3 linked regions of the Macaca fascicularis genome follow. The protein of the gene in region 3 purifies or fractionates together with the protein of the main gene of each other region. This does not show direct contact. Links are inferred from orthologs where the notes say so. Each region holds a gene or a part of one and is shown on either strand. Other genes may lie near its edges. The genes, in order: CDK8, CDK19 and MED12L.

What was found.
Region 1: the proteins of MED12L (region 3) and CDK8 purify together in Homo sapiens (affinity purification with mass spectrometry; 3 studies listed by BioGRID and IntAct, counting the BioPlex papers as one, with this or other methods). This does not show direct contact. The link is inferred for Macaca fascicularis from reciprocal best matches to the Homo sapiens genes MED12L and CDK8.
Region 2: the proteins of MED12L (region 3) and CDK19 purify together in Homo sapiens (affinity purification with mass spectrometry; 3 studies listed by BioGRID and IntAct, counting the BioPlex papers as one, with this or other methods). This does not show direct contact. The link is inferred for Macaca fascicularis from reciprocal best matches to the Homo sapiens genes MED12L and CDK19.

The regions. Positions count from the first base shown.
Region 1 is NC_088391.1:6,446,298-6,449,954, reverse strand, and holds part of CDK8 (cyclin-dependent kinase 8), read right to left. Parts: intron 1,523-3,657; coding exon 1,453-1,522; intron 678-1,452; coding exon 605-677; intron 1-604.
Region 2 is NC_088378.1:14,657,930-14,661,586, reverse strand, and holds part of CDK19 (cyclin-dependent kinase 19), read left to right. Parts: intron 1-2,880; coding exon 2,881-3,024; intron 3,025-3,180; coding exon 3,181-3,250; intron 3,251-3,657.
Region 3 is NC_088376.1:54,230,660-54,234,316, reverse strand, and holds part of MED12L (mediator of RNA polymerase II transcription subunit 12-like protein), read right to left. Parts: intron 2,821-3,657; coding exon 2,709-2,820; intron 246-2,708; coding exon 156-245; intron 1-155. UniProt on the Homo sapiens protein: May be a component of the Mediator complex, a coactivator involved in the regulated transcription of nearly all RNA polymerase II-dependent genes.

The sequences.
Region 1 (3,657 bases), on a different chromosome or scaffold from region 3:
ACACAAAGTTGGTAATGGCTGAATATAATTTCATCACAAATTACCTTGTTAGTGCATGGATATAATTAGATTCTAGGTTAAATCATTTTTCCATTACACACTGATAAATATGGCATCTATCACATTCTTCCAGAAAAATCAAATGGCACATATAATTGCTGAAGGACTGTTAACATTTAAGGTTATAAGAGGTATTTAGGAAGTTAACTTTGTAAACAGTCTTTCAAAGAGCTGAAATACAAAACAATCTATCAATGGTGAGAAGTATTTTCTTCTTGATACTTCTCTGAAACTTTTAAAATTTTAAAGTAACAGATGAAAAACAATACACGTAATTTTATAAATGTTTTGACAGATTTGTTCCCATCACTATCTTTAGAAAATCTAGCGTGACCAAACGTTAGTCTGTCAAACCATGAGATGAGTCTGGAAAAGCAAATATTTTATTGTCTTTATTGGTATGCACTAACAAGCTCTGCATTCACCGTGAAAGCGCTCTGCATGTGAGCTAAGTAACCATATCAATTGATCCAAAAAAGCCTCAGTTGGGCCAGTCAATTAAGGAAAAAATGCATTTCATTAATACTGTTTATCTAAAGCTTACCAAGTGGAATGCTTTACTATCTGGTTTAACTTTATGTTTTTCCATATACTTGATAAGGCTGCAGTTGGTATACCTGAAAGAGAAATACTATGAAATAGCTATATTAGACTTGAGGTTAACTTTACATTGGCTAAAGTTCTTCTGATAAGAATTATTTTGATCATAACTGATATACAATATATACTGAAGAGTACGAGCATAAAAGGAGTAGAATTAAATCAGTTTTATATTTCATTCAATATCCACAATGGTCACTTTTGAAACGATACCAATGATTAAATGTAAGACGATTTCATGAATAACAGACACTAAACAGCTTTTTCTTAATATGAATTTAACATTTTAAATAACATCTGGGTCAAAAGTTTAATTCAGCCTTACATATAAGTGTAAAATACTTTTGTCATAGGTATATAAACGAAACTCTCCCAATCCCTGATTTTGCATTGTAAACAGGTGAAATATTCATTCTTCGCTATTAAAAATTGTTTAAAATTACTGTAACCTAGATTGGTAAGCAAGTGGCTATTAGCAAAGTGTATTTATTTAGACTCTTATTTATTCAGCTGTGATACTTCTAATGTCTAGCTTCCAAAAAGTAGTAAATATGGAAAGAAATGAATTTGTTTTATATCCAAATCAGCTGCTAATATTAGTTGCTTTTGTATATAATCATTTAAGCATCTTAAGAAATAAAGACTGTCATCATGAAAAATATTTATTAGAGTAAATAAGTAAAATTTATTAGCATAATCTTATTTTATTATGATGAATATTCAGTCTTATACTGAGTACTCTGGTAAAGCAAAAATCGACAAGGGGTCTTTTTTTTTTTTTTTTCAACTTACGTATTTCTTCTGAAATCTTTCATTAATGTTGAATGTTCAGGCATCTTTTTTATATCTTCCCAATCTTTATCTGTGAAATACATTGATAAATTTTTATGTTGCCTAAGTTCCTATTTTTGAGAATTTTTATATTACCACGTTCATTACACTTCCTATACATTCAAACCCCATAAAAAAAAGCTCAGTCTTCAAATAAATGTTCAGCAACAGTAAACATCTTCAACTGTAAACATAATTCCTTATCCCTTGTATAACTTTAGATATCTGTTTATCTTTTTAAATTTCAAACTGCAAACTTTCTGTATGTTTTACTATAAGCTGCCTCAATTTCTCTCACTAGAGAAGAATGTTATAAATATTTCTATTTATCTTATTAAATGTCCTATTTCTATTAGTAAAACTGCTTATTTTCCCTTTTCTACCAAATTTCTTGGTTGAATCAGCAATTAATTTCTTCAATGAGAAATCTAAGATCTTCCCCTCAGTGGCTTTAAACTGTATTTCTTTTTATGATACAGCCCTCCTTTCACCTTATTAAATATATTTCTTTACATAAGCAATCAATGTAAGTGGTAATAACTATTTGCAGAATAGGGTAGGATATAATTAGTATATTAATGTCGGCTGGTACCTTGGCTAGTCTCAGTAACATTACCCAAAACAACCTCAGTTCCTAAATACATTAAGTACAAAACGTTTCAGCTACTTTTGCTGGCATCAGAGTTGCTCAAACAATACATGCTACATAATTTGTTTTCTCCATCACTGTCAATGGGTTTTCCTGAGAGTCTACTAGGTGCACAGGACTGTCAGGGGCAGCTTAATAGCACCTTGAGTATTTTTTTTTTTTTTTTTTTTTTTGGAGACGGAGTTTTGCTCTTGTTAACAGCCCAGGCTGGAGTGCAATGGTGCGATCTCGGCTCACCCCAACCTCCGCCTCCCAGGTTCAAGCGATTCTTCTGCCTCAGCCTTCCGAGTAGCTGGGATTACAGGCATGCGCCACCATGCCCAGCTAATTTTGTATTTTTACTAGAGACAGGGTTTCTCCATGTTGGTCAGGCTGGTCTCAAACTCCCAACCTTAGGTGATCTGCCCACCTCGGCCTCCCAAAACCTTTAGCTTTTAAATGGCCTTCAGAGGCTTGCTTTTCTTTGAACTTACTTGTAAAAATATTTGGCAACTATCTTCCAAAGATATCACATATTGGAAACTAAACATACACTTACACTCCTAAATGGAATTTTCTCCTTAACTATTTCCTTGCTCCAATTTCTCTATCTTATCGACTTCTCAAGCTAGAAATCTTAAGATAATCTTTTAGTTTTCCCTTGCTTATACACTTCCTATAAAACATTTCCATCTGCCCTTTTTTCTCCATCCTTATTATCACTCTCACTTTATGTCTGCAGCACTGCTACAGCTGGTTTCTGATTTCGCTTACCTCTTTTTAACTGAGTTTTACCTACCACTACCTTACTAATCTTTCTAAAATGTAGCATAAATCATGTCTCTAGTACTGAAGAACTTATCATGGATTCTCATTCTTTAGCTATCAAATCTAACCTCTGCTGCCTGCTTTCCAAGCTTCCTTATAAACCACCCTAACCTCTGAAACACACATTAAGAGTTGCTGATAGATGTCCTCACTCCATATATTCCCTCACAGAAGCTATGCCTTTCTCATGGGCTCAGAAATGGTGGACACATTCAGAAGCAGGAAGAAAAGAGAATTCTTCTGTCTCTATTCAAACCACACCTATTTTTTAAACATTCTACATATAGCAGTACAATGTAAACTCCAAGAGGGCGATAATCCTGTCTGTTACATCATCAGTAACTTTTTACTTAAAACAGTGCCTGGCACATGGCAGGTACTTAATAAATATTCACTGAATAAATAAAATTCCTATCACAACAGAGGTCTTCTTCAAACCGGTGACCAATTTTGGAGAAAGGCAGTAACTGTGTAGTTATTCTGCATTTACTGATAATTAACACCCTTACAAGGGAATGTAGAATTAAAAGTCTCAGGTATTATCTCTATTAGTCTTGAGTTAAGTACTTGAGTAGCCAAAATTTAGGTGTTCTAAACAAATTCTCATTATTCTGGACCTCTGAGCAGTTTCTGGTGATCACTGTTCTGTAGTATAACTAGGGATTGAGATACAGTTGGAGAGATCTAATGCCAGGGATGGGATACATGTA
Region 2 (3,657 bases), on a different chromosome or scaffold from region 3:
ATGGGACCATCAGAGGCAGCCATATCAGGGGGAAGAGTGACAACCAATATGACTTGAGAGAGAGAGAAGAATTCAGAAATGGACACTGAGCAGTATTATTCTTCTACTCTGTAGTGAGGATTACATTGTGTTTTATAGCCTCTTATGGTGGCAGGCAATGGTGTAATTAAAAAATGGTTGTTGAAGGAATATGTTTCCATTATCCAAAAGGCTAAATTATGTGGAAGGAAACTGTACCTGAATGTGGTCAAATAAGTAAGGCATTACTGTATGGATTTTTCCATTTGGCAATTCGTTTCAGGAGAGAGCATTCTGATATGTCTTCTAGCTAATGGATATACAGTAGTCCTCACTTATCAGGTGGGAATATGTTCCAAGACCCCCCGAGGGGATGCCTGAAACTGCAGATAGCACCAAACCCTGTATATAGTGTTTCTTTGATCTGATAACCCAGACGACCACTAAGTGACTAACCAGCAGGTAGTGAGTATACAGTGTGGATGAACAGAGGGATGATTCACATCCCGGGAAGATGGAGAGAATAGCATGAAATTTCATCACACTGCTCAGAATGGTACACAATTTAAAACTTATAAATTGTTTATTTCTGGAATTTTCCATTTAGTATTTTCGAACTGCAGTGGTTGACTGCAGGTAACTGAAACTGGAAGGCAAAAACTTGGATGAGGAAGGAATAGTGTAATTAACCTTTTTCCTTGTTTAGCTCATCGCAGAATGTGATTCCCATATTTAATAGGCTACTAAACACAGTACTTTTTTATCTCTGTACCATAGTTTTTTGTTTTTTCCGAGATGGTGTTTTGCTCTGTCGCCCAGGCTGGAGTGCAGTGGTGTGATCTTGAGTCGCTGCAACCTCCGCCCCCTGGGTTCAAGGGATTCTCTTGCTTCAACCTCCCAAGTAGCTGAGACTACAGGCGTACATCACCACACCTGGCTAATTTTTGTATTTTTAGTAGAGATGGGGTTTCATCATGTTGGCCAGGATGGCCTTGAACTCCTGGCCTCAAGCGATCCACCCACCTTGGCCTCCCAAAGTGCTGGGATTACAGGTGTGAGCCACCGTGCCCAACCTATACCATAGTTTTTGAATTTTTATCTTTTATTTTATTTATTTATTTATTTATTTATTTGAGATGGAGTTTCTCTCTTGTTGCCCAGGCTGGAGTGCAGTGGCGCGATCTCCGCTCACTACAACTTCCACCTCCCAGGTTCAAACAATTCTCCTGCCTCAGCCTTCCAAGTAGCTGGGATTACAGGCATGGGCCACCACGCTCAGCTAATTTTGTGTTTTTAGGAGAGGCAAGGTTTTACCATGTTGGTCAGAACTCCTGACCTCAGGTTATCTGCCTGCCTCAGCCTCCCAAAGTGCTGGGATTACAGGCGTGAGCCACCACACACAGACTGTCTTCTTTTTAAAAAATATTTACTAAATGGCATTTAAGTGGGCAAGTCTCACAAAAGTTAATTCACTTATACATCTGTCAAAGCATTGTGAATATAATATTGTAGTCTCAGAATATAAGCTGCAGTCTTTCAGTGTGTAAATTTTAATAGAATAATCTATGACTGGTGATTTTAGATAGTTAATAAAACTTCTAAAGATGCCTAACTTTATCCTGAGGGGTGGGGTGGATGTGGGGTAGCATATAAGTGAATATGTTTAAGTAAGATCTATGTCATGCAGTACTATATATAGTATTATTTATGAGCTTCTAGAGCAATTTGTTGAAAAAGCTGAAGCTAGTAGTCTTTGAGACAAAAGTTTTTTCCCCAATTCTTTTTATTTTATTTTATTTTTTGAGACAGAGGCTTGCTTGCTCTGTTGCCCAGGGTGGAGTGTAGTGGTGCAATCTGAGCTCACTGCAACCTCTGCCTCCTGGATTCAAGTGATTCTTCTGCATCTACCTCCTGAGTACTGGGACTACAGGCGCATGCCACCACACCTGGCTAAGTTTTTGTATTTTTAATAGAGATAGGGTTTCGCCATGTTGGTCAGGATGGTCTCGAACTCCTGACCTCAAGTGATCCACTCACCTCGGCCTCCCAAAGTGCTGGGATTACAGGCATGAGCCACCGCGCCCATCCTCCCCAGTTCTTTTATATGGTCTATACTGTCTGTCGAGACTCAAAACTTGTAAATTCTGCTCTATCATTATACATTGGATGGCTTTAAAAGAATTACATCACTATGTCTGATGATGATATTATTTCAGTATATCAGATCTGAGTACTATGCCTGGTATTAGATTATCAATTGAATACTTTAATGATTAAATTATTCACAGTGGTTAGATATGGTGAGACCTTGTCTCTATAAAACAACTAAAAACTTAGCCAAGTACAGTGGCACACACCCATAGTCTCAACTACTCTGGAGGCTGAGGCAGGAGGATTGCTTGAGCCCAGGAGTTTAAGGCTTCAGGGAGCCATGATTACAGCACTGTACTCCAGCCTGGGTGACAGAGACCCCAAAAACAACAACAAAAAAAGTGGTTAGAAAGACCTTTGCCTAAATCTAAAGAATTTGTTTTTTGCTAAATTGACTTACCCTGTTTATTGTCATCAGAAAATTTACAAGTAAATGTCTTTTTATTATTTGGCTTTCAATCTGTTACATGATGATATAGTTATTTCATGTCTCATATATATATACACACACACACATATGTATACATACATATATACACACACATACCCACACATATGTTAAAATACAAAGTACAATAATGTTTTCTTAATGCACTTATTGTACTTTGTATATTGATTTACTGAAAAGTATTTTTATAAGTAGGCTGGGATTATATCTGGGAATTATAACCAAGGAAATATATACAAAAACTTATGTTTCTTCTTTCCTAGATATATGGGCAATAGGTTGTATATTTGCTGAATTGTTGACTTCAGAACCTATTTTTCACTGTCGTCAGGAAGATATAAAAACAAGCAATCCATTTCATCATGATCAACTGGATCGGATATTTAGTGTCATGGGGTTTCCTGCAGGTAATTTATTTTCCTTTTTAAAGTCGTATTTTGAGTCATATTTCAAAATCATTTCTTCTCAAAAGCAAAATTTAATGTATATTTATAAACTGACATAATTGGGAGATTTTAAATTAACACATTATTTTCTATAACAATATTTAATTTTTTTGTAAGATAAAGACTGGGAAGATATTAGAAAGATGCCAGAATATCCCACACTTCAAAAAGACTTTAGAAGAACAACGTAAGTAATTCCACACAGTCCTAGTCTTTTTGTGCTGCTGTAAAAAAATACCTTAGACTGGGTAATTTATAAACAACAGGAATTTGTTTTCTCCCAGGCCTTGAGGCTGGACAATCCAAGGTCAAGGCACTGGCATGTTTGGAGTCCCGTGAAGGTTGTTTTCTGCTTCCAAGGTGGTGCCTTGTTGCTGTGTCCTCACATAGATAGAAGGGCAAAAAGGGGCAGATGCTGTGTGATGCCTCTTTTACAAGGCATTAGTCCCACTCCTGAAAGCAAAGCCCTCGATTCTGGAAGGCCTTATCTTCTAACACTGTTGCATTGGGAATTAAGTTTCAACAACATGAATTTTGGAGGGGACATAAACATTCAAACCATAGTGCACATTAATTATAGGTAGTAATTTCAAT
Region 3 (3,657 bases):
GAAGGCTTTAGAAACAGGGAAGTAGTTACAGAGAGCAAAGAGTGGAAGGCCTCACCTTGTAATGCAGACTCTGAACTTAGGAGAAGTGGAAAGCTGGAGTTATTTTCACATGTAGATATGTTTAATGAAGGGAAAATACTAGAAATGTCTCTTACCAAATTTAGGCGGAGTTGCAATGCTTCGTGCATCATCTGCCGCGCTTTTATGTCATCTTGGTATCGTTCTTCTCTCCAGTTACTTAAAATCTAAGATCAGGAAAAAGAAATCATTTTCTCTCCATTAAAGTTTAATTTTTCTCTCAATTAAAGATAAATTGAGCTTTATACTGATAGCAAAAAGCAACTTCTTATCTTTAACAAATTAAGAAACAAAGCTAAATAAAATTTTAGCTTTCTTCTTCCTCTATGCAGACAGAAATCTGGCTAGTTATTTTGCATTTACCCATCTAGGTGGAAGAAGAAAATCTTATATAATTATATAACCTATGATTAAGTCTGGGAAAATGCTTGAGAGGGCTATCACATTTAGCATTAATAAAAATTTTAAAATACATTACCTCATTGGTCTTACGAACAAAAACACTGGAGAGACAGAATTACATTTTGCCTCAGTCCTGTGTTATATTTCTAGGGACTTGCTGTGAATCCTAGCAAATGTATTATTTTGATGTTTTATAGAAGAGAAGGTCTGCTATCTTATGTATGTGTCTTCCTTGATAAAGTGAATGCACAGTGCTTTGAAAAATATGGCATTGTAGACATCAGCCAAGTGGCTTATCAGTTTATAAAGTGGGCTGCTTCTTCACTTCCTCACTGACTCATACTAATGCTGGAAAAGGAAAAATTTGCTTAGGAAAGGGAGCCACAAGTGGACAACACCCTAGAATCAGATGACATGAGCAAAAAAAAAAAAATTGCAATTCAAAACAAAAACAAAAAACCACCAACAAAAACCCTACCATGCTCTGAAATATGGTCGTTAATGACAGTCATCTTAAAAGAGTTCAAATGAATCACATGCAAAAGTACTCCATCCCAACAGATGACCTGTAAGTACCCTGCATGGTGAGACGAAAGCACTTCCTAAATCTCATCAAAAGAAATGAACCTCTTCTCAAGGCTGGCTTAAGGGGGCAAGGCAGTTAACTAAACAAGCTCTCATGGAGTTCAAATAATAGTAGTGGGACCAATAAAACTAAGTGTAACAAGTGATTTGAGGCATGCAATGGCATAGAGAATAGCTATGCTCCTACTTTTAGAGGGTGATCAAGGCCTCCCGAAGGAGGTAACATCTGAACAGAGACCTGAATGAAGGAAGGGAGCAGGCCATGCTAATATCTGGAAGGTAATCTTTCCACCAAAAGGTAAGAAAAGATGCACAGGCACTGAAATGAGAATTTGCTCAGCAAGTTCAAGGAACAGTAACATGGCCAGCCAGTGCAACAACAGTGGAGGAAAGAGGGCCATGACTGGTAGGAGACAAGGTAGACGAGAGAGCCAGTGTCAAATCATGCCTGCCCTTATCAGCTAGAATTTTTATATTAGGTATACTGAGGTAATATGTGACTTACATTTAAAAAGGTTCACTATGACTGCTATATCTAGATCTTTCATATCCAAAAGGCGAGAAATGACAACAGGATCAAAAAAGATTTAGTGTCCTTGTCCATGTCCATCTAGTACCATTCGAGGGAAAGACATGGTGTCACAGAAACACAGCGCCACAAGAAGGGGTCGATTAGGCTCTGCATCAGGATAAAACACCTCATAAGACCAATCTATCCACTTTATTAATTCCATGCTCTCCAATTTCTACTGTGAATGCTCAGTCTCCTTATAGTACATAGATGCAAGAGCCCCAAACAGTGACCAGGAGAACTGTGTTTGGTGAAAAGGCAATGTCCAAATTATTTCTAAATAAACCAATATGCCTTCTGATTTATTTCTTGTGTATTTGGTTGGCATCAGTAAAACTGAGTTTCTGAACCTACAGATTTCAAGCTGAAACTGTGCCTGATAATGTGGCATCCAAGCTTGAGGAGCTGGACTCACTGCCATGTCTACTGCAGCATAGATTCCTCCAGGTCCTCTCCTAAGAGGCAAAGTTAGGAGAGGGGCAGATACTTCGAAGTTATATGCAATATGTAAAATTTTACTTTTATAGGCTGTACATATTTATTGTACATATCATTAATATAAAGTTGTTAATCTTGTGGTGTCTAGAATGCCAGGTAGAAGAACAGGGCATGGATTGTTTCCCAGCATCTTCTCAAAACATTTTGTACCCTTATTAGTTTTTTTGTTTGTTTGTTTCTGTTTTTTTTTTTTTTTTTTGAGACGGAGTTCCACTATTGTTTCCCAGGCTGGTGTGCAATGGCGCGATCTCAGCTCACTGCAGCCTCTACCTGCCAGGTTCAAGCAATTCTCCTGACTCGGCCTCCCGAGTAGCTGGGATCATAGGTGCACGCCACCATGCCCGGCTAATTTTTGTATTTTTAGTAGAGACGGGGTTTCACCATGTTGGCCAGGTTGGTCTCAAACTACTGGCCTCAAGTGGCCCACCAGCCTCGGCCTCCCAAAGTGCTGGGATTACACAGGCATGAGCCACCTCACTCAGCCCTTTTTAATTTAATTTCAGTATTTGAAAGGCAAATAAATGAATGCCATTAGAAAGATATTTCCCTGGCTTAATATTATACTATACTTTACCTGGTTAACTTGATTCTGGAGAGATGTTAGGAGGCCTTCCCTTTGTTCATCTTGTCCCTTAAGGCAGGTAAGTACCAGTGAGAGGAAGGGTTGTTGACTCAAAAGAGACATACTACAAAGGAAGTAATAACAGCAGATCTAGTTAGAAATAATGCATTACTTCCTCTGGCAACATTCATTTCTTTGCCTCACTATTAGATAAATAAGGGAAGTGGTAAATAACCAAAGGCTGCTTGAAAATTTAAATCATACCTCTACTTATAAGATTAAAAGCCACTGTAATGCTTCTAAATCATTTGGTATGCTCTAATTGCCCTCGAAGCCATTCTCAAACTACCATCAATCCATACTGTACATGCGCATGCCAGGCAGTGAGGGTAGAAGACAGTGAATTCATGTTCTACATCAAGACGCAGGATTTTAAAACATACATCAGAAAGAATATCAATTTATACACAGGATAAAATTAAAAAATTTTTAAGTTCTCACATAAAACTCTTATTTTAGAGTCTGGGAAAAGAGGCCTATATGTCTGTTGAGCTTGTTTTGGGGTTTGTTTTTCAGCACATTTCCCAAGACCAAAAAGCAGCATATTAGTAGAGCTAATTTAGCAGCCAGGACTGATGATTCCAAAAACAGAGTATTTGCTAGCGACCTCTAGTGTGCAGCTCCAACACAGCCCACAGGCCCCAATACAGCCCGCAGCCTCCACTGGTAGAGGGGTGTCAAGGCATTTGGTTAAAAATTCTGTTTTAAATTGGCATTTTAACAAAATGTCCTCAATGAGAAAACAATCAACAAATCATATTGACAAACAAAGCGCCATGTTGGAAAGAAAAATTTCTTAAAATGAGACCTAGGCCAAAATATTTCAATCAGCATCATCCTACATGGGCAGAATGAAGAGCCCCTGACGTGGGAAGAGCAATCTTTCAAGTCTCTTCAATGC